4 linked regions of the Arabidopsis thaliana genome follow. The protein of the gene in region 1 interacts with the protein of each later gene in a pairwise test. Each region holds a gene or a part of one and is shown on either strand. Other genes may lie near its edges.

Evidence for each region.
Region 2: the proteins of AT4G11100 (region 1) and AT3G58380 interact in a two-hybrid assay, tested with the Arabidopsis thaliana proteins (one large-scale study listed by BioGRID).
Region 3: the proteins of AT4G11100 (region 1) and GSTU1 interact in a two-hybrid assay, tested with the Arabidopsis thaliana proteins (one large-scale study listed by BioGRID).
Region 4: the proteins of AT4G11100 (region 1) and EIF2 BETA interact in a two-hybrid assay, tested with the Arabidopsis thaliana proteins (one large-scale study listed by BioGRID).

What each region holds. Positions count from the first base shown.
Region 1 is NC_003075.7:6,766,058-6,771,382, reverse strand, and holds AT4G11100 (gelsolin protein), read right to left. Parts: upstream 2,770-5,325; 5' UTR 2,684-2,769; exon of another isoform or gene 2,512-2,683; intron 2,378-2,511; 5' UTR 2,348-2,377; coding exon 1,795-2,347; intron 1,718-1,794; coding exon 1,407-1,717; 3' UTR 1,098-1,406; downstream 1-1,097. Other genes in the region: TBL23 (TRICHOME BIREFRINGENCE-LIKE 23), read left to right, coding at 5,162-5,325.
Region 2 is NC_003074.8:21,596,190-21,601,835, forward strand, and holds AT3G58380 (TRAF-like family protein), read right to left. Parts: upstream 3,420-5,646; 5' UTR 3,253-3,419; intron 3,026-3,252; 5' UTR 3,007-3,025; coding exon 2,900-3,006; intron 2,824-2,899; coding exon 2,663-2,823; intron 2,567-2,662; coding exon 2,325-2,566; intron 2,190-2,324; coding exon 1,776-2,189; 3' UTR 1,610-1,775; downstream 1-1,609. Other genes in the region: AT3G58370 (TRAF-like family protein), read right to left, coding at 95-154, 233-405, 561-721, 818-927; AT3G58390 (Eukaryotic release factor 1 (eRF1) family protein), read right to left, coding at 3,841-5,028.
Region 3 is NC_003071.7:12,630,446-12,635,473, reverse strand, and holds GSTU1 (glutathione S-transferase TAU 1), read left to right. Parts: upstream 1-2,935; 5' UTR 2,936-3,113; coding exon 3,114-3,434; intron 3,435-3,527; coding exon 3,528-3,881; 3' UTR 3,882-4,133; downstream 4,134-5,028. Other genes in the region: AT2G29510 (hypothetical protein (DUF3527)), read right to left, coding at 1-243; AT2G29500 (HSP20-like chaperones superfamily protein), read left to right, coding at 1,734-2,195; AT2G29485 (uncharacterized protein), read right to left, coding at 4,500-4,567, 4,743-4,884; GSTU2 (glutathione S-transferase tau 2), read left to right, coding at 4,242-4,562, 4,736-5,028. UniProt on the Arabidopsis thaliana protein: May be involved in the conjugation of reduced glutathione to a wide number of exogenous and endogenous hydrophobic electrophiles and have a detoxification role against certain herbicides.
Region 4 is NC_003076.8:7,093,175-7,099,544, reverse strand, and holds EIF2 BETA (eukaryotic translation initiation factor 2 beta subunit), read left to right. Parts: upstream 1-2,399; 5' UTR 2,400-2,533; exon of another isoform or gene 2,534-2,674; intron 2,675-2,875; 5' UTR 2,876-2,883; coding exon 2,884-2,922; intron 2,923-3,049; coding exon 3,050-3,164; intron 3,165-3,255; coding exon 3,256-3,311; intron 3,312-3,413; coding exon 3,414-3,468; intron 3,469-3,562; coding exon 3,563-3,657; intron 3,658-3,747; coding exon 3,748-3,893; intron 3,894-4,010; coding exon 4,011-4,153; intron 4,154-4,244; coding exon 4,245-4,330; intron 4,331-4,479; coding exon 4,480-4,551; 3' UTR 4,552-4,896; downstream 4,897-6,370. Other genes in the region: TSL (Protein kinase superfamily protein), read right to left, coding at 70-120, 391-594, 734-823, 1,081-1,332; AIP2 (RING/U-box superfamily protein), read left to right, coding at 5,235-5,402, 5,675-5,879, 5,968-6,164. UniProt on the Arabidopsis thaliana protein: Component of the eIF2 complex that functions in the early steps of protein synthesis by forming a ternary complex with GTP and initiator tRNA.

The sequences.
Region 1 (5,325 bases):
TTACACAAACAAAAACGTGACATAAAGAAATTTCACATGTGGTTTTAGATCTAAATAACGCTTAATTCTCTATTTAAGGTGTATTAACTTCATTATTCAATAAAAAGATTCTGATAATATTTATTGCCACATTTATGCAAATTTCGAATCTTATCTATCTTTGGCGATTTTTAAGAAATAACATACTCTTTTGAAACAAAAAAAATGAACCTACAGTACTTGCTAGGGACATTTACATTTTTTTGTTTGATAAACTCAAGGAATTTAAAAAAAAAAAAAAAACTATAGTGATTTGATTTCCTGATAGATCTCTTTAGTTTAACAATACTTACATCAGTGTCCTAATACTTTTAGATTTCAACTATTTCTATAAGAAATCACTACTTACACTACTTACATTTCAATTTATTTGAATCTTGAGAGCTTTAGCTGCAAATTATTTGCTTAATAAATCAAAAGATATTGTTTTACACAAATGAAAACGTGACATAAAGAAATTTCACATGTGATTTAGATTTACAAAAAACGCTTAACTGATTCTATTTAAGATGTATTAACTTCATAATCAATAAGCTTCTGATAATATTTATTGCCAGATTCTGATAGACGGATAGTGTACTGGCTCCTGATCTTAAATGGTTTCAAAAGACTTTTGTGGTCTTATGATTATCCATTTTTCAGGATTGTCTTTCATATTTGCTGGCTCTAAAAGTTTAAGGACTGTCTAATGCTGATTTCAAGGGTCAGATTCAGGTTTATGACGACTTTAAACCTCTATACCGCGGCATAGACAACTCAAGCGACAAGCTAGTCGAGAAGGAGCTGCATAAGCTTAGTTTGAAGCATGTGTGATGAACACTACACAGAGAAGAGCTGTTGCACATATTCATGGCATGGCAAACAACAGATCAGCAAGAGAATCAAACTCACTAATGCCAATCTTCCGGAGATCTTCCAGAACCTTAACACCAGCAGTTCCCGGAACTTAACCTCGTAAATGGATGATTATCCGATGATTCGGAAATTATTTTGCCACGGAACTTTCTTATTAGTTAGTACTCAAGAGTTAGTTTACAAAAGCTTTCATTAATTATGTAGAAAAAACTAATCCATATATAAACAAGATGCGTATACAAAGCCAATTTGCGTTTGCAGTATTCAAATGCAAATGCAATTTTAGTTATGGTGAAATTGTTGTAACACAGAAAGTTTCAGCTATTATTATACTCATGAATGAATAATTGATTTGATAGTAGATAGAATAGTTTGTTGTAGTTCCAGAGATTGTTAAATAAACTCCTGACAAAAACAGAAAGCAATATGTAAGAAGATTTCCATAACTAGCTTAACTTAAGAGTGCAGCTTCAAATTTACTTCTTTTGGCTCTCTGTTGCATCTGAAATGTTCTAAGGCTTGTTGGAATCCTTCCCGGGACCTTTCGGGATTGCCCATTCAGGCCAATTACGAGGCAGCTTAAGCACAATCTCAGCGCCGTCTGAAGATGATGATGATGAAGATGACGATGAAGGAGAAAAAGGCGGTGGATGATTAGCAGATACCGGAGTAAAGGTTTCTCCCGAAGCTCGGTTCTCAGTCGCTGAGTTTCCTCTGTTCCTGCCTTCTTCTTCTTGGTTTCTATCACCAGACCGATGAGAGCTTATGTTACTCTCAATAGGTGGATTATTATCATTTTCATCATCACTTATCATTATCGCATCTGCACACAAAGATAGATTCAAAAGAAATGTCATTGTAAACTAAACAACACTTGGGTACAGAGATGTCTATGTATACCTGTCACAGCATTGTTCACATTCTGATTAGCCTCGTTCTCTCCTTGACCAATAAGATTATCAGTCTCTCCAACCCCTGAGATTACAGCACTTTGAGTAACCGAAGCTACTACTTCCGCATCATAGAGTGACTTCAAGTAAGCACATTCCTTTTCAACAACATCAAACTTCTCAGCTAACTCAACATACTTATTCTCCATCTTCACTAACTCTTCTTCCTCTTTCTTCTTCCCCAACAAAAGCTCCTGATTCTTCGACTTCAACTCATCAACAATAGCAGTTCTCTCACTCTCCATTGTCTTCTTCATCTCCTCAAAAGTCTTCCTAACCTTAGCCTTCTCCCTTCTCTCTTTCATACATTCCTCAAGCAAGCGTTTGTTACTCACTTCAAGCTCCTTAGCTTTGTTCTCATGATGCAACTTAATAGCCTCATAAGCTTCCTCAGCATGCTTAATCCTCTCCTGAAGACTCTCATAATCTTTCAACAGAGTCTCATGATTCTCCTTCAGAATTTCATGCTCCAAAGTCATCGTTTTCTCTAAACCAAACATCATCTTCTTCTCTGATTTGTCCTAAACCCAAACCTGAAACAACATCAACCAATTTCTACAGATTATTACCAAACTCATAAGCTTAATCAAAAATTCTGCAAAAACCCTAAATATCCAAGCTTTATGTTCTCTTTATGACTGAAATGCAACGAAGATGAGAATTAAACCAGATTTATGAGCTCAGATTGTGGAAATCGAAATGGGTTTCGGAGGATTCAGAGAGAAAATGGTGAGTAACAGGGAAGAGAGAGTGTGGTTAAAACTCAGATTCTTTCAAGCATTCAACAATGTAAACAGAATCAGATAGAAAGAAATGGAATTTTCTCGAGAAAATCTTACCAGGATTGCGAACTTGAAGAACCTAAAGAGAGAAGAAGACGAAGAAGCAAAGTCCTCCTAAACGTTGGTTAATGATAACGTAATCGAAGATGACAGATAATGTTTGTATGTATTTAAGTAATATTATTCAAATTAATTAATTGTTTATTCCATGTGACCAAAAAAATAATTAATAAATTGTTCATTCTTAAGCTAATTTAACCCAAACCTTTTTTTAATTTAATCCAAACCTTGTAACTGATGCGATGTTTTTTTTACTAGAACTTTAATTTTCTGTTTTTACCGTTTTATATATGGCATTCAGTAGGTCTGGGTACGAAACGGATATCCGGAAAAATTGTGATATTTGTTATTCGATTCGTTTTAAACGAATACTTGATTTTGTGATTTGCTTTGCTTTGCTTCGAAAATTTCCGGATATCCGGAATTTCGAATATCCAGAATTTTTTGTGATATTTGCGGATATCCGCTTTGATATATTTAAATATTAAAAAAAATCTATATACTATATAACTATATCAGATATTCAAAGTTTTTATTTAACATGCTTTCAAAATAAAAACTAAATACTTGTTGGTACCACCAGTCTACAAAATGTTATCAAACTAATTCCGAAAACTAAAACCCGATAGTTTTTGATGTCGTTGATCAAAACATAACATGAGAAAAATGATCAAACAAACATTTTAACATAAAAACGTAAAATAGCAACAATACACAAACTATTATGATATATATATAGATATAACTATATTTTCTAATATATATATAAAAAGATACGGATCGAAGCGGATATTCGGTTTTTTTTTTTTAAAATTTGTTATTTGATTCGGTTTTTACGAATACTACATTTTCCTATTTGCTTTGGTCCAAAATCTTACGGATATTCGGATTTTTCGAATCAAACCAAATCATATACCGAATCAAAGCGGATCGAACGAATATTTTGCCCAGCCCTAACATTCAGGTTAACAACAGAAATTAAAGGTATTCTAACATTGTAACATTAATGTATGTTTTCGTATAAAAATGAAAGTTTAAATATCAAATTGAAGTTTAGGTTAAATCAACTGTGGTATAATACGTGTATAAATGCAGCATAGTTCAAACTAAAGATATGAAAAAACCAATTTTCCGTTTTTTACATAACATTTGTGCAAATTCCTATACTATTAAAAGAGAAATATAAATTTGTTTCAATTTGAATTGGATCGGGTTATGTTAAAAAATTAACATAAATTGACCTGAAATTTAAGTAATTGGATTTTTGGCAAAACAAAATTCGGAATATAATATGAAAATCAATGTTTTTAAACCCGATCTGGACAGTGAACCGGACAACAGTTTTTTTTCTTCTACGCATCGTTTGTTTGTATTATTTATATATATATATATATATAGTGATATGATAACTTCCCTAAAATTAGCTGAATAATTAAATGAAAAAAATTTCAGTTGATTTAACATTGAATTTTTTTCCTTGTTTTTTTTAACCCATTTCTCCACATTTTTTTGTAGTAGTTTAGTTTCGTAATTTCTGCAGTCACAACTTTTAGTAATGAGTTATAAACAATTACAATCAAGGTTTTTATAGTAAACACATCTTTTACTAAAACCACGTAGAATAATTGGAAATCAAACATAATTTTTCTAAAGCTCCTAAATTTTTTTAGTTTGTCCTTAGAAATCAAATATATTTTTGAATCTTTTTTATCTAATTAACCGCAATATCTATAATCTGAAAGTGTTAGGACCGATTGGTAACAAGTGTTATTTCTAACTATATCAATTTTGGTTGTAGAAAATTTTGGTGTAAGGAATTTGACCGTAGAAAATATAGAGACTTTTGCAGTTAAAATTGCAGATGTGAAAATTTTGAAACAATTGGTAAAAATTATGAGTTTAGAAATTAAAACTTTAAATAATATAAACGATTAGATTAGTTGTGACATATGCGATACAATTTTTTTTCATCTCTACTGAAGAGATCGTTTTTATTGATATTGACACAATTGATGACGGTTTCATATCATTAAAAATGATAATTTAGAGAATGTTTTTTCCGATTTTAAATGATGCTTTCAACTTTCAATATAAAAGTTAAATGTATTTAATATTTTTTGACCAATAATATTCTATAGTATATTTTTTATTGGTTGACTTAGATATAGTTACTTATGCAAAAAAAGGTAAATTAAACTAAACTTTTGTAATATGTGTAAAAAACCTTAAACATTACTTAAAATCAGAGAGAGAATAATTACGGTTGTTTAGAATCCTCATTAATCATTCTCTGTTTCATTTATTAACTTTCTGTATATCATTAACCCCACAAGCATTAAATTACTCACTAATCTTTTTGGATTCTATTATTCATTGGTTTATCGCTTAGGCAATAAGTACGGAATCAAAAACATTCCACTTTCTGACCAAAAAAAAAAAATCGTATATCTCTCAGCGCGAGGGAAGAAGAAGAAGATGAAGCTAAAATGGGAATCAATCTCTAATCTTCAACAAAACACATATCTCATAAAACTCGTCGCTGCAACACTTATAACTTGTCTCGCTTTTCGTTTCTTCGTCTTCCGCTTCGGCCAATTTTCCCCAGTTCAAGTGTCGGTGACCGGAAACTCCAATTCCCA
Region 2 (5,646 bases), on another chromosome or scaffold:
ATTTGAAGATGCATAAACTATATGTCATAGAAGTTTTTAGAGACATGAATACATACTATATTACTATGACATATTCTAATCTTGTGTTTCTTACCTGTGAAGGAAGAACTTGAAACCCATTGACATCAATGCTTTCCTTTACTGGTGAAGTCTCGTTGAGAGAATCAAAAGACACTGCATCATTATCATCTAGCTTTATCTTTTTCAGAGGTTGGTTTGTCTCTTCAGATTCTTCTGATACATCTAACTTGCCAATAACTTCAAGATCATTTATCTCCACAACAATCTTGACTTCTCCGTTCACAAGATACCCAGCATTTTTGGCATGAAGGTTGGGAAGAGGGATCATAGATGTAAAACCCGAGCCAAGATTTCTTTGATTAAACCAATTTTGTTTCTCTGTTCACGAAATATATAGAAACTCTAATCCAAACAAGCAATAAAATTGCACAATGCATAACAAGAATCTTGCAGCAGCACAAAGCCACATGAGTGTCCATGACAAGTTGTAGAATCATAAAATATCCTTTATAATATAAAGTTTAGAAATAAAGAATTATCTCCTCGTTGGGAGAGTTTGTCCGTAAGTTGATTTATTATAGTTAAGGAGAATTGTGCATATCTTCTCCATCCACAAGGCAATGCTCTAGCATCATCAACCACCAGATACAGAGACAAACTATTATTAAATTTATTTCCCTTTGGATAGGCCAGAAGATGCCTGCAAACAAAAAGCAGTTGCAAAAAAAAGTGGATGTCCTCGTAAACCTAAATTGGACTAATACAGTTAGAAAAAAAGTTTTAGTTTCTTAAGTACCATTTGCAGCCACCAATCACAAATGGATCAGAATAAATTTTGTCATATTGCAAAGTGGAGAAATTCTTAATCACCCAAGTGAACTTGTTATCAACTTCTTCACTCTCCATTAAAGACTCCTCACAACCAAACTACCTTTAAAACAATGCCACACACCCAAATTCATGTTATATACCAAAGGAAACACATCTCGAGTAACAAAATAAAAACCAAAACCTAAAATTCCACTATGGACTCTAACTGACATGATATCCTCAACGCTAGTAATCTTAGCTTCCACATAAAGACGTCAAGGTCGAACCAAACGCTTTAAAAAAAACTAAACTCTACCTTAATGAGAAGAGACAATGAAAAGGGTTGTTCTAAGACAACAGTCAACGGAGACTAAGGGAAAAAAGGGTTTCAGACTCTGAACGCTTACATGAATGCAAATCAAATTTTATTAGGAAAGTGAATCACTTTTATATGGCTTAGGAAACATGACTTGAAAACTAGAGTAACTAATGTTGTATATAATTTAATGCATACTATAAATAATCAATAGTTTCCCCAACCATGGTGATTTACCAGGGATACTCTGTCTCTCTTGTTACTCAGTTTCCAAAATTTCCATATTCAAAAATTTAGATTGTATAATTTAAACACACTTTAGTTTGGATATGATCAAGGGTAGTTACTTGATACAGTTTAGCTCCTATATTCAAGGGATTGCATATATTTCATTTTCAAGGGATTAACTACTTCTTCTATGTTCTGCTTTGATTTATTGATTTCTTCTAGAAAACACATCTTAAACTTTTCTAAATTTAATGTTGGTTAAAGTAATTTAAAAAAAAAACACTTCAAGCGCACAATGCTTTAGCACAAAATGCCTAAGAAAGAACTCAAGACATCAACCTATAGAGGATCTCCACAAAATGTCTCTGCCTTATCAGAGGGCAGTTTTTCAAAGCCTTGTCTAAAACATCTTAAGAACATCATTGAACGAGAGAGGAACATTAGCGGTCAAGTCATTTGCTTTCTCCTTGTCTAGAATATCTTTCAGGTCTAAGCGTTTCTGATTGAGTTTCTGCAAATCTTCCTCTATTTGTTGCAGCCGAGCCTTACCATTATCCACATTCTTCTTCTTTTCCTTTACTTCCTTGAGCTTCTTCTCCAACCAATCCACTTTAAAGCCACCTTGTGACACGAATAAAACTGCAATGGATGCTTCATCCAGATCAGTATCAGAGAGCTCCGCAGGCAGTTGGCACAGCGTTTCAATTATTCCGAGGAGTACATTCATGTATAATGTCTTCAGACATGGTTTCATTGAAGGGACTTCTGATGCAATGTTTGGGTATATTTCAAATATACGCTTCACAGATTCTACCTGTGAAAGAAGAAGAAAAAAATATCATAAAAGCTTTAGAAGCCCTGAATACATACAGAAACATTTTGTACATCAGAGTATTTAAATACAGAAAACCACAAAGAAGTATACTCGCATTAATCTTAAGTTTCTTACCTGTGAAGGAAGAACTTGAAACCCATTGACATCAATGATTTGTTGAGTCTGTTTGAGTAAATCAATAGAGTTGGCACCATCATTATTTGATGTGCCAATAACTTCAAGAGAAACAACCTCAATAACAATTGTTATTTCTCGGCAAATCAGAAACCCTGCATCTCTTGCAAGAAGGTTGAAAGGGGGTGGTACTGTTGGATAACTACAAGCGGGAAGATTCTCATCAAAGTATAGGTCTGAATCTGTAGCATCACCACAAGTATTAAAACATCAATATCACATTAAAACTAATCTAAATCAGTCACTCATTTTGCAAAAAGTATAAATAGAAGAATAACCTGTCACAATGGAGCGTTTATGAGAAATTCCATTTACTATAGTTAAGCGAAGTTTTACATGTCTTCTCCATGAAGAAGTCAGTGATTGACAAGAATCAGCAACCCCCATGTATTGATAGAAGAACTCATAGTTAGTTCCCTTTGGTAAGGCTAGAAGACGCCTACAAAAAAAATCAAATCACCAGAACATAATTAGATGAAAAGTACGTTTGGAACAAAAGTTGGTTCAGTTTTTACCATCTACTGCCAGCAATCAGAAAGGGATCAGAATGACTCTGCTTAGGATAAAAAACGTTGAGATCCTTTATCACCCAGACAAATTTCTTGTCAACTTCCTTCTCCATTATATTACTCGCAATGAAACTACAACAGCATGAAGAGAATTAAACCAAATTCATGTACCTACCAATCAAAGTATCAAACACACACACTCTCCAACAAATTCTTTCTTAGTTTAACAAAGATTTTACTATGAACTCAAAGACATATGAAGTTTCAGCCAGCAGTTTAAACTACTTAAAACTAGTTGACCGTAGTTGAGGAAAAGAAATATTCTAAGACATGCAAGATTAAGGGAATAAAGCGATTACCCTTGAGAGGCGAGTTGAAAGAGAAACAGCGACTCAGAAGTCAGAACTCGTACCCACTTTGTCCAAGTTAGTCCAAGTTTGTCAGAGCTACGAACCCAATCCAAAAACCAAATTACTTGGATCGAATAGTTCAAAAACGAGATTCAACCATTTTTATAACATTAATCCTCTAAACCAAAAAAAGGGAGATATCCAATTCCAATAAGGAAAGAAACTAAAATCCCTTCTTTGGAATTGACTTTTCCAATAAGGAAAGAAACTTGGACTTGAGATTCTGTTTCCTTTTTTCTTGGTGAATAGACCTTCCAAGGCTTTTTAGGTCCTTTTGTGTTAAAGAGAGGAACAGGATGCCAAACGTTTTCAAAAGGGGTTGCCAATTTCTTTTTTGATTTTTTTTTTTTTAGTAAAGGATACAGATTTTTACAGTAAACTTAGGAAATATTTGTTTAATTTAATGAAGATAACTGACGCTTTTATATATATAATCTTGCAACAATTTGTTCAAGTCATACCCTTACAAAACAAGTAACTAAATATTAGAGCAGAAGTGAATAAAAGAACCTAAAAGATTTTCTTAGAAATACTATGTTACATCTCAATGTCTTCTAGATCTGGTAAAGGGAACCTAAGAATAGCTGCAATTCCAGTATGCTGTGCTAGTTGTTCCCCTGAAGCATGCATTGACGAAAATATAAAAACCTCTCCTCCTGAATCTTTCACCGACTCCACAAAATCCACATACTTCTTCCTTGTTTTCACGTCAGAGTTCCTAAATAGCCCATCTATAATGAGAAGTGTTTGGATTGCCATTCGTTCATGAGCAACTTCCACATGTTTTGGTCCATAACATGCTCTATTTGGATCATTCGAAAACATGGTGAAGAAATCGTTGAGAGCTTTGACCTCTTTTGCTGCTTTAGTATCTTTGATCATATTCATCACGTTAGGGTCATGCAAAACCTCGCTTAGGCTATGTTTATATCCTGAGTTTGTGTGCACCAGAATGAAACGTGATTTGTTCTCAAGAATAGGTCTCAACTGTCTTCTCTCTGCTTCCAACAATAGGTGGCGATGAAACTGATCTTTTGTAAACCCGGGACTTGCAATCACTGCGCATCGAACCACACTGAAGTCAACGTGTTTCAGAAAGGCTTGCACAACATTCTCAAAGAATTTCTTCAAAACTGACTCGTAACCAGCCGTTCCAGCTCCATGCTTCCAAGGAATCGATGTTTTTATTCGTGCACCGCAACTTTTTACACTTTTGCCGGCAAGGAAGATTTGTGCCAGTCCTTCTTGCATTAGAACTACAGCTAAATCAGCACTAGCTGCAAGATCTGAGGCCTGCTTGAGTGTATCAAGAGCCAGTGAGTCCCAATTTTCCTTTCTCAATAAAAAAGGTCGTTTAAGCTCAATCTCCAAAGTATGGAATGCACCAATCCTTACATGCTCGTTCTCCATGATATTCTTCCCGCGTATGCGCATAACATCGCCGTCTTTGTCATAGTCCACCTCCTCAACTTGTACTTCTAGCTTAAGTTTAACACGTTCAGTCCGGGTGAAAGATCTTTTCTTTCCAAGGTATTTGCTTTCTATTCGACTTAGCGATGGAGTCGAGTCTCTTCCTTCACCACCAACTTTTCTGAAAGTGATAGCCATTACACTATCCTCCGGGCCAATCAGGTTATAAGTATACCAGAGATCATCCGAGTCCTCTGCCATCATCTTAACGCTTCCGGGTCCATTACGAACAAAATCCTTGCGAATGATTTTCATCTTTCAGGATTTTTGAAGGTATTTTCCACTAACAGAATCTGAAGAATAAACTGTCGATCGGAAATTGTGGTAGGGAATGAAGAACAATCAATCGCTCTGACAAGAAGAGAAGAAAAAATAAAAACTTAAAGTAAACTTTTGCTTAAATTAAGCTGTTATTGATCTGAAGAAATAGACTTGATCTCCTGAGATATACATATTTATAGCTAGCTATAAAGCTTACATAAGTCGTCTAGGAAAACTAGGAAACGTATTTTCCTTTTCTACATTGTTAAGTATTGGGGATAGAGATTAATCTCATTAGGATTATTCCTATATATCTTCTGATTATGTCCTATATTTTAGGGACTAGAGTATATCTTATACGATGTCTCTCTTGTATAAATATTATACTTTGTGAATCAATAAAATCAAGTTAGTGCAATATCTAATTCTACATAGTTTCTTTATTTCATTAGAGCATCCTTATCCATAGGTTGTTAACAATATCATAAGAACTATTAAAATATTATATTAAACAAAATAAGAATAAAAAAATTAAAAAAAAGTATACTTAAGAGATGAAAAATGGCTCTTAGCTAAAAGTTTTTAGATACATTCTCTCTAGCCTTTTTAATA
Region 3 (5,028 bases), on another chromosome or scaffold:
TTCTCCTGAAGCAGTTCTACCTATCCTTGACTTCAAACGATTCTCCAAGCGTTTAGGACATACATCTTCAACTTTTTTCGTGATCTCGCGGTGGAAATCGGAGTAAGATAACCCGCGTTTATCGTCTCTAAACTTATCCGGTGTAAATGCCTTTGAGCTTTCCTTAGTTAATACCTTCTTCTCAGCAGCTACAAATGGTGGTCTATCACAAGAACCTTTCTTCAACTCCAAACGACACTCCATCTGTTTCCAAAGTTCCAAACGTTTCACTCAAATGACTCCTCAGTCTCCCATTAAACTGCAGAAGCTTGAAACGCTCAACATTTTTTTTCACTGTAGAAACAAAAAAAATGGTAAGTCATAACAAATACCAAAAAAAAAAAAAAGTACATCTTTCTTATCCACACACAATGTAATAGAATTACAAAACGAATCTTCATAGACCTTATAGATCCTTAAGAATCCGTAAGATCTGATTAGAAGAATCTCTACAAGATTAAAGCTGAGGAAAAAAAGTAAAACTAAAGTATCAAAAGAACCAAAACAAAATCACATTCTTCTCAAACTTTCTTAATTTACCAAAGAAGTACTAAAAAACAAGATTAGTAACAGGAAAGGCCTAAAGCGTACACACACAAAGCAGGAATCGATGAATTCACATAACACTAACACCAGGACTAACACGAGAGTGTTATTGGCAGTGTCAGAGAGTGAAAAAGCTTGGAAAAAAATCGAACCGTACCTGAACGGAATCAGTTCGTAACACAGAGACTGAAGCAGATTAGAGTTGAATCAGATCAGGAGAGGAAAAAAGAAGAAGGAAGAACAGATCTCAAATCGTCCGTGAAATCCGGCAGAAATAGCGCCGACGAAGCTGACCCTATCAGCTACAGAGGTAGAGAGTAAGAGAAGAGAGAGATTGAGCTTTGTTAATTGTGTGTAGATTAGAGAGTGACAAGTAGAGAGAGATAGAGAGTTGTTGAAGCGAGTGTGTTTTGTTCGCCGAGTCTTTCGTCGAAGTTGTTTTTTTTTTTTCCCAAAAAAAAAAAACATATCTTTTTGTGGCCGACGGATTTAGTAAAAAAAACAGTATAATTTTTATAAAGATGGGCCCAATAGTAGAATCGTACGCTCAAGATTCCGTAATGAACGCGGGAAGTTACGTCATTGTGACCCTACTTACTTAGTGGAGCTCAATGTCCAATATACACCGTTGGATTTGTTTAATCCTCCTTTAGATGGGCCCAGTTTTTAGTAATATTCTATTCAATTCAGCACGTTATACAATTGCTTTTAAAGCCCATGGCCCATAATACTCAGACAGCCTTAAATGCTTCAGATTAACAAAGAAAATGTTTTAGATTTTATGGATAGTGTGATTAGAGTCCAATTATTTTGGAATTTAATTCGGTTAACCAGTCGAACCGGATAATCTGTAGAAATCCAGTTTTTTTTTTGGAAGACTACATATTTGTCTAAAGCCCATGAAGGCCCATTAAACCCAACGAACACAAACAATCTTCAAAATGCTCCTAGAATTTTCTGGATTCACCTGATTTTTCTCATAGACGTCCTCTAGATGTTTCTGTATTCCCCATAACAACTCGAGAAGCTCGAGAAATTTCGGTTAGTACCTTTAAATAGCTTCAAAAATCCTTCGTGTGTTCTATCAGAAATCGAAAAATCAAAGTTCTCAAGAAGATATCAACAAAAAAAAAAGTAAATTCTTTAAAATGTCGATGATTCCAAGTTTCTTCAACAACAACAGACGAAGCAACATCTTTGATCCATTCTCTCTTGACGTATGGGATCCATTCAAGGAACTAACATCATCATCACTTTCTCGTGAGAACTCAGCGATCGTGAACGCACGTGTGGACTGGAGAGAGACGCCTGAGGCCCACGTGTTTAAAGCTGACTTGCCTGGATTGAAGAAGGAGGAAGTTAAAGTTGAGATTGAGGAGGATAGTGTTTTGAAGATCAGTGGAGAGAGACACGTGGAGAAAGAAGATAAGAATGACACGTGGCACCGTGTGGAGAGATCGAGTGGACAGTTTACGAGGAGGTTTAGGTTGCCGGAGAATGTGAAGATGGATCAGGTTAAGGCTGCGATGGAGAATGGTGTGTTGACTGTTACGGTGCCTAAGGCTGAGACTAAGAAGGCTGATGTTAAGTCTATTCAGATCTCTGGTTGAGTAATGGGTTCGAGTTTTATCATCGGAGTTGCTTGTGTTTTTGTCATGGTTATGGTTCATGTTTTACTTGAGTGTGTGAGTACTCTATCTAAATTATAATAATCTCCGATTGAGCTATGAATTATGATGTATCGGATACATTTGATCCTAATGAAGTATGGAATAAATAATAATTATTAACCTTTGTCTAAATTCAAAAGAAGTTTAACCGACGAGATGATTTCGCTTAGAGTTCGATTTCGGTTTAACTAAACCAAATCAACCGATACCGTGAATCAAGACGGAATCAAACCCAAAAACTGAAAAGGTTCACATTATATAAATGTTATATTTTGATTTAGATTATTACATCATTTCTTTCAAAATGATTAACATTTTGTTTGATAACTGAATATTTCTTCTGTTTTACAATGTCATTCATTTCAAATGTTTGGCAGACAATGAATTGGCCAAAAAATAGACTCTTCAAAACAAAAAAAGTTGTGTGTTTTACAAATACAGTCGATACATTAATCTCTCAGTTTTAAACTTTTCAACATATGAATCTTAAAATATAAATTGTAGAACGTAATCATTTGGAGATTTGTTATTTCTTGGTCGGCTAATTGACTGGAGATTAGAAACACTAAGTGTTGGTCAAATATCTTAAAACACTAAGACGAATGACGTTGGCAATGACGTGCATACCTTAAAATATAAATCAGTCCTTTTCTGGTGTGATCTTCAAGATATCCTTGGATACAAAGACAAAGAGAAAGCAAAATGGTCCTTTTATTTATTTGTTTATTTCACCACCCATAACTTCATTTGTGTATAGAATATAGTAAACTCAAGTAATCAAGCAAGTAAACGAAACATAAAAAAGAAAAGTAGTGCAAGAAACAGAGGAGTTAGATACCAAAAAGTGAGAGATATCGAATGGCGGAGAAAGAAGAGAGTGTGAAGCTTCTAGGGTTTTGGGCAAGCCCTTTTAGTCGTCGAGTCGAGATGGCTCTCAAACTCAAAGGCGTGCCATACGAATACTTGGAAGAAGATTTGCCCAACAAGACCCCTTTGCTTCTGGAGCTAAACCCGCTTCACAAGAAAGTTCCGGTTCTTGTCCACAATGACAAAATATTACTCGAGTCACATCTGATTCTCGAATACATCGATCAGACGTGGAAGAACAGTCCAATTCTTCCTCAAGATCCTTACGAGAAGGCCATGGCTCGATTTTGGGCCAAGTTCATCGATGACCAGGTATACTAATATTGATTTGCAGATTAATTAGTTGATTCTATGCAGAACAATATTATATTATTCGCTTGTTTATATATTGTTCTTTACTTGCAGATCCTAACACTAGGGTTTAGGTCCCTTGTAAAAGCAGAGAAAGGAAGAGAGGTTGCTATTGAAGAGACTCGGGAACTGCTTATGTTTCTTGAGAAAGAAGTCACTGGAAAAGATTTCTTCGGTGGCAAGACAATCGGATTCTTGGACATGATCGCAGGAAGTATGATCCCATTTTGTCTAGCTAGACTTTGGAAAGGTATTGGAATTGATATGATTCCAGAGGAGAAGTTTCCGGAATTAAATAGATGGATCAAGAATTTGGAAGAAGTTGAGGCAGTGAGGGGATGTATTCCTCCAAGAGAGAAACAAATTGAGCGCATGACCAAAATTGCAGAGACAATTAAGTCTGCCTAAATTAAAGATACTTCTTGCCTACGAAAATATTTGATTTATATGCTTGCATCGTTTTTTATTTATATTTTTATTTTTTAAAGTTTTTCGAAAAATAGAATGACCTAATATTTAAGTAAAAAGATCAAAAACCTATTTGAAAGTTACAGCAATCAAATAACGTGGTGTGTCTGGAGATTGTAAAAGCCAAGACTAGAAGGAAATAAGAATAAAATAACCAAAGTGACCTCAGCAGTGACTTGGTTACCTTACTGATGTCTTTTTTTTTTTTTTTATCTTCAAGATAAGCTTGAGAGTTGAGACTACAAAAAAAAGCACAATATTGTTTTTAAAGTGACAGAGAGAGTCAGAGAGAGAGATCTAATGGCGAAGAAAGAAGAGAGTGTGAAGCTTCTAGGGTTTTGGATAAGCCCTTTTAGTCGTAGAGTCGAGATGGCTCTCAAACTTAAAGGCGTACCATACGAGTACTTGGAAGAAGACTTACCCAAAAAGAGCACTTTACTTCTTGAACTAAATCCGGTTCACAAGAAGGTTCCGGTTCTTGTTCACAATGATAAATTATTATCCGAGTCACATGTGATCCTCGAATACATCGACCAAACTTGGAATAACAATCCAATTCTACCTCACGATCCCTACGAGAAGGCCATGGTTCGGTTCTGGGCCAAGTTCGTTGATGAGCAGGTACTCTAGTCTAACTAATTAAATTGATTTATAATATTGATTGCAAAATAAATGAGAAACACTTGAGAGTTATTAGAAGTTCATTACATTTCAAGCATTTATATCAGGATTATTTGTAGGATAAAGTAATTTTCTAAGTACTTTTTTTTATAGATTGGTATAATAACTTGCAGATCCTACCAGTTGGCTTCATGCCCCTAGTAAAAGCAGAGAAGGGAATAGATGTTGCTATTGAGGAGATTCGAGAAATGCTTATGTTTCTTGAGAAGGAAGTCACTGGAAAAGATTTCTTTGGTGGCAAGACGATCGGATTCTTGGACATGGTTGCGGGAAGTATGATCCCGTTTTGTCTTGCTCGGGCTTGGGAATGTTTGGGGATTGATATGACTCCAGAGGATACGTTTCCAGAATTAAACAGATGGATCAAGAACTTGAATGAAGTTGAGATCGTGAGGGAATGTATACC
Region 4 (6,370 bases), on another chromosome or scaffold:
TCCTAGACGATGAGACACAAACATATTCTCCAATATTACAGAGTAAAAGACATTATAGGAGAAACTTACATCCTGGAGAGAGCATTCACCATTCCTGAGCTGTCCATCAGGCCTAAAATCCTGGAGAATAAAATGCAGAAAATATTCATTGATAAACTGCGTCTGGTCATCAACATCAATGCAAACAGCAAAAAAAAAGGTAGGAAAAGGCATAGTAATTCTTTCTTGTCCTGCTTAATTTTTTCATACAGGCCAATTAAAAGGTTTTACTTCAGGAAAACATATAATTTGTGTCCACGTTTGTCAACGAAATTAAGTCTCATATATGTAAATCCTCGATGATGAGAAGAGTGGTTCCATGTAAGGTCCGATGAGGTAAACAATACTAACCTTTTGATCAGAGGCATCCAGTTGACTGGCAGCTGATACTGGTGCAACCACAAACTGAGATTTTGTCACATCGTTATTAGTTTTAGAACCACGCCCTCTACCTGTTGACGAAGCCCGACCTCGACCTTGTTTCTTCTTACTTACATCAAGGCCTGTCTTGGACTCAGCATCATTTTTCCTTCCATCATATGCTGCCTCTTGTGGCTTCAATTCAACAATATTCTTCATTATAAGTTGATGAGAAATACTAGGAGACAAAACTTACATCATACACCAATATTTGATATAAAAAACATCAACCCGATAAGAGACTAAAAGAAAACTCTTTATGAAAAATCAATACCTCAACATGATCAACAACACTGAAGTTGTTAGATTCTTGAACTTTCTGGCGCTTTTTTGTATTTGCTCGGATTAGGAAATCTCCAGTATTCTGAGACAGTAACAAGGAGAATGAGATCTAGCTAAAAAAGAGACTGTATTTCTTGTTCAAGAAAGAAATATAGATGCATCTGCAATGCCAGGATATGTAGCCAGCATTGCATACAACTTTGATCAATCTTTAGGCACAAACTGATCAATACAAGGAGGATAGGGACATCAACAATTCAATTAGCAACGACCCTTAGACTCACAAGAATCATAGCATAGACATAAACAAAAGAATTTGAAACAAACATCGGAAGCTACCTCGTCGTCTGAATCACTGATAGAGGTTTCGGACAATCCCGGCGGTGTGGAAGTGACGACTTTGACAGCGGCAGAAGCAGATGACCAGAGAGAGACCTGCTGCTGCTGCTGTTGTTGTTGTTGTGGTGGCTTGGCCGAGGAAGGGGTCTTACCAGTCAAGCGGGCCTCAAGCTTGGCGATTTTGTCGGGTAAAGAGTGATCCGACTGATTAGAAGAATTCGAGGAGAAATGCAAAACCATGTCATCCGACATTGCCAAACACTTGCGGACACTTCACTCCCTAATTTCTACACAGATCAGAGTAAATTCGAGAAATTAGGGTTTTTTAACGGAGAATTACGGAATTGGAAGCTAGAATCTGGATGTCGAAGAGAAACCCATCAACAAATTTTCATGCTTTTATGCAAATCCACGTGGAGGAAAGTGAATAAAACGTACAGAGAAAGATAGACAGAGAAAGAGAAGGAGGAATAAGGTTTTTGTTTCGGTGAAAAAGAAAAATCGAGGAACCCTAAGGAATTAGGAGGGAAAGAGAGGTCAACACAAAGTTCTCTTTAGCACTCACTCTGATACATTTTTTGGTTTATCAGATTTTAGCCTAATTATATAATCTGAGGTTTGAGACAAGTTTGAGTTATGGGTGTGTTAATTTGGGAAATTTCCATTTTTTCTTTCTTTTTTTTTCTCCATTTGGTATCATGGATTAGGGTTGACTATAAGTAGGGTTTTCTTTGATCTAAGGCCAGACTCGTGGTTTAAACGCTAAAATCCGATTATGACTATATGAATTTGCGGAAGTAGGCGGTTGCCGTCTCAAGCGTTATTAAACAATTTGAACGATTAATTTAGCGGTTGAAAATTAATGCATTTGCGGAAATTTTGTTACTGAATATCTAACAAACTAAAATACTTAATATATTAAATAATAAAATAATATAATTTAGTAATTTATAGTAAAATAAGATATGCTAGACTATTAATTTTGACACTAAATATATTCTGATTTCTTTCTTTACTAGTTTCATTTATATTTAATAACATTTTTATATAATTTACTATTCACAGAATTTAATAAGAAATAAATCTTAATTTGAAAAAAAAAAAATTGATTTGATAAAATTTCAATTGATTAATTAATTAAGACAAATAAAATAATAAATGAGAATCTCAGTGTCAATTAATAGATAAAATTAAAATGTAACATGCGTTAAGAAAAAGAAAAAAGTAAAAATGTAATATTAAGGTTTAGGCAAAATGAAATATTTACAGAGACCTTTTACTATTGAATTAAAAAAAAAAGTTACAATTCGAGATGGACTATTTTTTTGGAGGAGCAAGGGTTAACTCTTATCTCAGATTAAAACAACCCCTGCGCCGCTTACTCTCTCTCAGATTCCTCCCGAAGCAACCTCGTTTACTCTCTACGCCAATTTCAGCGCTTAGACATCCCTTTGTGAGTTTTCTTCGATTCCTTTTCGAATTCTTCTGGTCGATCTCAGAGTAAATCGTGTTTTTGGAAGAATTGAGTATAAACAGATTGGTAAACCTAGCTGTTCCGTTTCTGATTTGAAGCCTTGTCGTACATTTTATTTGGGTATTTTTTTTATTGGGAATCGAAAAGTTGTTCTGAATCTCGTTATGGTTTTGTTGCGTTCCGAATTACCTCTCTGATTTAGAAACCCTAATTTCGGACTTGCCTATGCTCATCGTTGTTACAGATTATGTTGATTCTAATATGTATATGTTTGGTTTCTGAGGTCTTATTATCATTGTGTGTTTTCGTTTTGTATCTCAGTTGCAATCATGGCTGATGAAATCAATGAGATAAGGGAAGAGCAAGAAGTAAGTTTGTTTTTTTTCTCTGTTTCTTAATGATAGGGCTCAAGTTAGCCATATAGATTTTTTTTTTTGTTTTGTTTGATGAACTCATGATTGAATGGTTTTTATGTTTTGGTTCATCCTTTTACAGCAGCTCGCACCCTTTGATCCTTCCAAGAAGAAAAAGAAGAAGAAGGTTGTGATTCAGGAACCTGTCGAGGACTTAGCAGAGTCTTCACAGACTGAGAAATCTGATTCATTGCCTGGTATGTATGATGAAGAGTCAATGTGATGTGAAACATTTTTTTTGTTTCAATGGTCTTTTGTGTTACTTTGTCTAATTCCTTGTTTTTGCAGTTAATGATGGTCTTGAGAGTTCATTTACTGGAATGAAGAAAAAGAAGAAGAAGCCAGTGAGTATTGTTTTACGTTTTGTGCCTAGTATTTTTTTTATGTCATTAAACTTGTGTGTTTGATGATTCTGTGACTCACATTTGTTCTTGTTTGATATTTAGACTGAATCAAGCTTATTGAACAACGAAAGTGTTGATGCTGGGGAAGATTTGGATGGTACTTTTAATATCCTTTTTTTTTGTTTGCTAATATACCTTTTCTCTTGGCGGGGTTTTTATCCTGTTTGAATCTTACTGAGAATATATTGCAGAGATTGCTAATGACGAGCAAGAGGGGGAAGAAGGAATAGTTCTACAGCAACGTTACCCCTGGGAGGGAAGTGAGAGGGATTACATATATGACGAGGTGACTATATTTTCGATGATTTCTTTTGTTTTAATCCTTCATAAATATCTTGCTCCCTTGTTTTTTTGCTGACGGGAGTTATATATGCAGCTTCTTGGTAGAGTCTTTAACATTCTCCGTGAAAATAATCCGGAGCTTGCTGGAGATAGGCGTCGTACAGTTATGAGGCCTCCTCAAGTTCTTCGTGAGGGGACAAAGAAGACTGTCTTTGTCAACTTCATGGACCTTTGCAAGACGTATGAGCTAACTCTTTATCTTCCTCTTCAAACTTTTTCTGTGTAACCATAAGTAATATTACCATTTAATTTTGATGACTTTTCGATGACATGTCTTATCTGCATATAAAAAATCAGGATGCATCGTCAACCAGATCATGTTATGCAATACTTGCTTGCTGAGTTGGGTACTAGTGGTTCGCTTGATGGGCAGCAAAGGTTGGTTGTTAAGGGAAGGTTTGCACCTAAGAATTTTGAAGGAATTTTGCGGCGATATATCAGTAAGTAACTTTCTTCTTAGTCTCAAAATTTAAGTTGCCATAAAAGTATATCAGTTTGGAGTTGTTAACCTCTTGTTTTATTATTTCTCAGCTGACTACGTCATTTGCCTTGGTTGCAAGAGCCCAGACACCATTCTCTCCAAGGAGAACCGTCTCTTCTTTCTGAGATGTGAAAAGGTATAAGTTAATCTAATTAGTCCTGATCTTGATATGCATTCCTTTGTTTCTGTTTTACAGTTTTACTTTCTGCGCAACAAAGTAATAAAGTATTTTGTGTGTTTGAATTTGCTAATGTGATTAACGAGTGGGCTACATGGTTTTTGCAGTGTGGATCTCAACGATCTGTGGCTCCGATCAAAACAGGGTTTGTTGCTCGTGTTAGTCGCAGGAAGACTTGAGAAATTAGAAGGTGAAGTGACCTTGGTATGGAGTTTGGAGCTATTCTACTGCTTCTGTATGAGTTTATGAGTTGAAGAAATACTTGTCTTGTTTTTTTTATTTTGTTTTGGAATATGATTATGACTTGACTTTTAAAATGGGATAGGATCAAAACCTTTTACTCTGTCAGGTTCATGTGGTCACCTTGAAGGTTGATTTAGTAAATCCATGGACTTCTTTTTTGTGTTAAGATTATTCTTAGTTCAAAATTAATAGACTAATGATATTAACGTCCACAGGCATTGCGTTCAACATCTCAAATTAAAGCGTGGAAGGCTCAGAAAGTCCAATATACACTATGTTTATCTACAGTTACAATCATACTACAAAAAACAAATAATGTATACGGTTTGGTCTAATATAGCCGCATACGATTTAGTATTTACCAACAAAAAATTGGTCTCAAACCAAACCGAACAATTGGTAATTAACAATTGTTCTTTTGGTCTTGAACCGAACCAAACCGAACTGAACTATATTAACCGACCGACTTCGTCCTTTCCTCCTGATCAAGAAAACTCGTCTCCTACAAAAATCCCAGAAGACAAGAGATTGGTTCTTCTTTTGCATCATTCTTACAAAATCCCCAAAATCATTCGAAACCCCTGAGTATTCTCCTTAACTCTAAGAAATAAATTTCTGAATGGATGCATCGTCTTCACCGTCTCCTTCCGAGGAAAGCTTGAAGCTTGAGCTTGATGATCTTCAGAAACAGCTGAACAAAAAGCTGAGATTCGAAGCATCCGTTTGTTCTATTCATAATCTTCTCCGTGATCACTACTCTTCTTCCTCTCCTTCTCTCCGCAAACAGGTTGGTTTTTATTCTTAGATTTTCGGATCAATAGATTCAAAATTATTCGGAATTGTTAGGGTTTATGCCTGCCTTGACGTTTACTCATTGCTTATGTCTGATGATGGGTTTAACTTTTGAGGATTGAATCAGGAATCAAATATCTTTCTTTTATTGTTTTTCTATTTCAATTGTGGAGAAAGTTCATGTTCATGTCAAAAATTTCATTTAATCCGATCTGTTTTTGTTTAGTTACCCTCTGTGACATAGTATTGATTTGATTGCCATTGCAGTTCTATATAGTTGTATCTCGTGTCGCTACGGTTCTTAAGACAAGATATACAGCTACTGGATTTTGGGTTGCTGGACTGAGTCTTTTCGAAGAGGCTGAGCGACTTGTCTCTGATGCTTCTGAGAAGAAACATTTGAAATCTTGCGTTGCTCAAGCTAAGGAGCAGTTAAGCGAAGTAGATAATCAGCCAACAGAGAGCTCACAAGGTTTGTGAAACATTTAGTTTGGCTTTTGATGGTTTTAAGTGAAATTTATCTGGAGATGATTTTTATTTCTCTTGTGAATTTTTTGCAGGTTATCTTTTTGAGGGACATCTTACGGTTGATCGTGAGCCGCCACAGCCTCAGTGGCTAGTACAGCAGAATCTCATGTCTGCTTTCGCTTCTATCGTTGGTGGTGAATCCTCTAATGGTCCTACTGAAAACACTATTGGGGAAACTGCTAACTTGATGCAAGAACTTATCAATGGTCTTGACATGATCATTCCAGATGTAATGCCTTCTCTTTTCTTCCTTACTAGTTTTAGATTATGTACTATCACACATAGCTGATATCACAAGTTTCTTCACCTAAAGATAGAGATGAAAGCAATTCTTAATCATCCGCATTCTACTCATATGTTGTTTTTTGCATATTGAGTTTCTCCACTTGGTTGTCTCACTCATCTGTATCAAGAGTGTTTAACCTCAACCTCTAA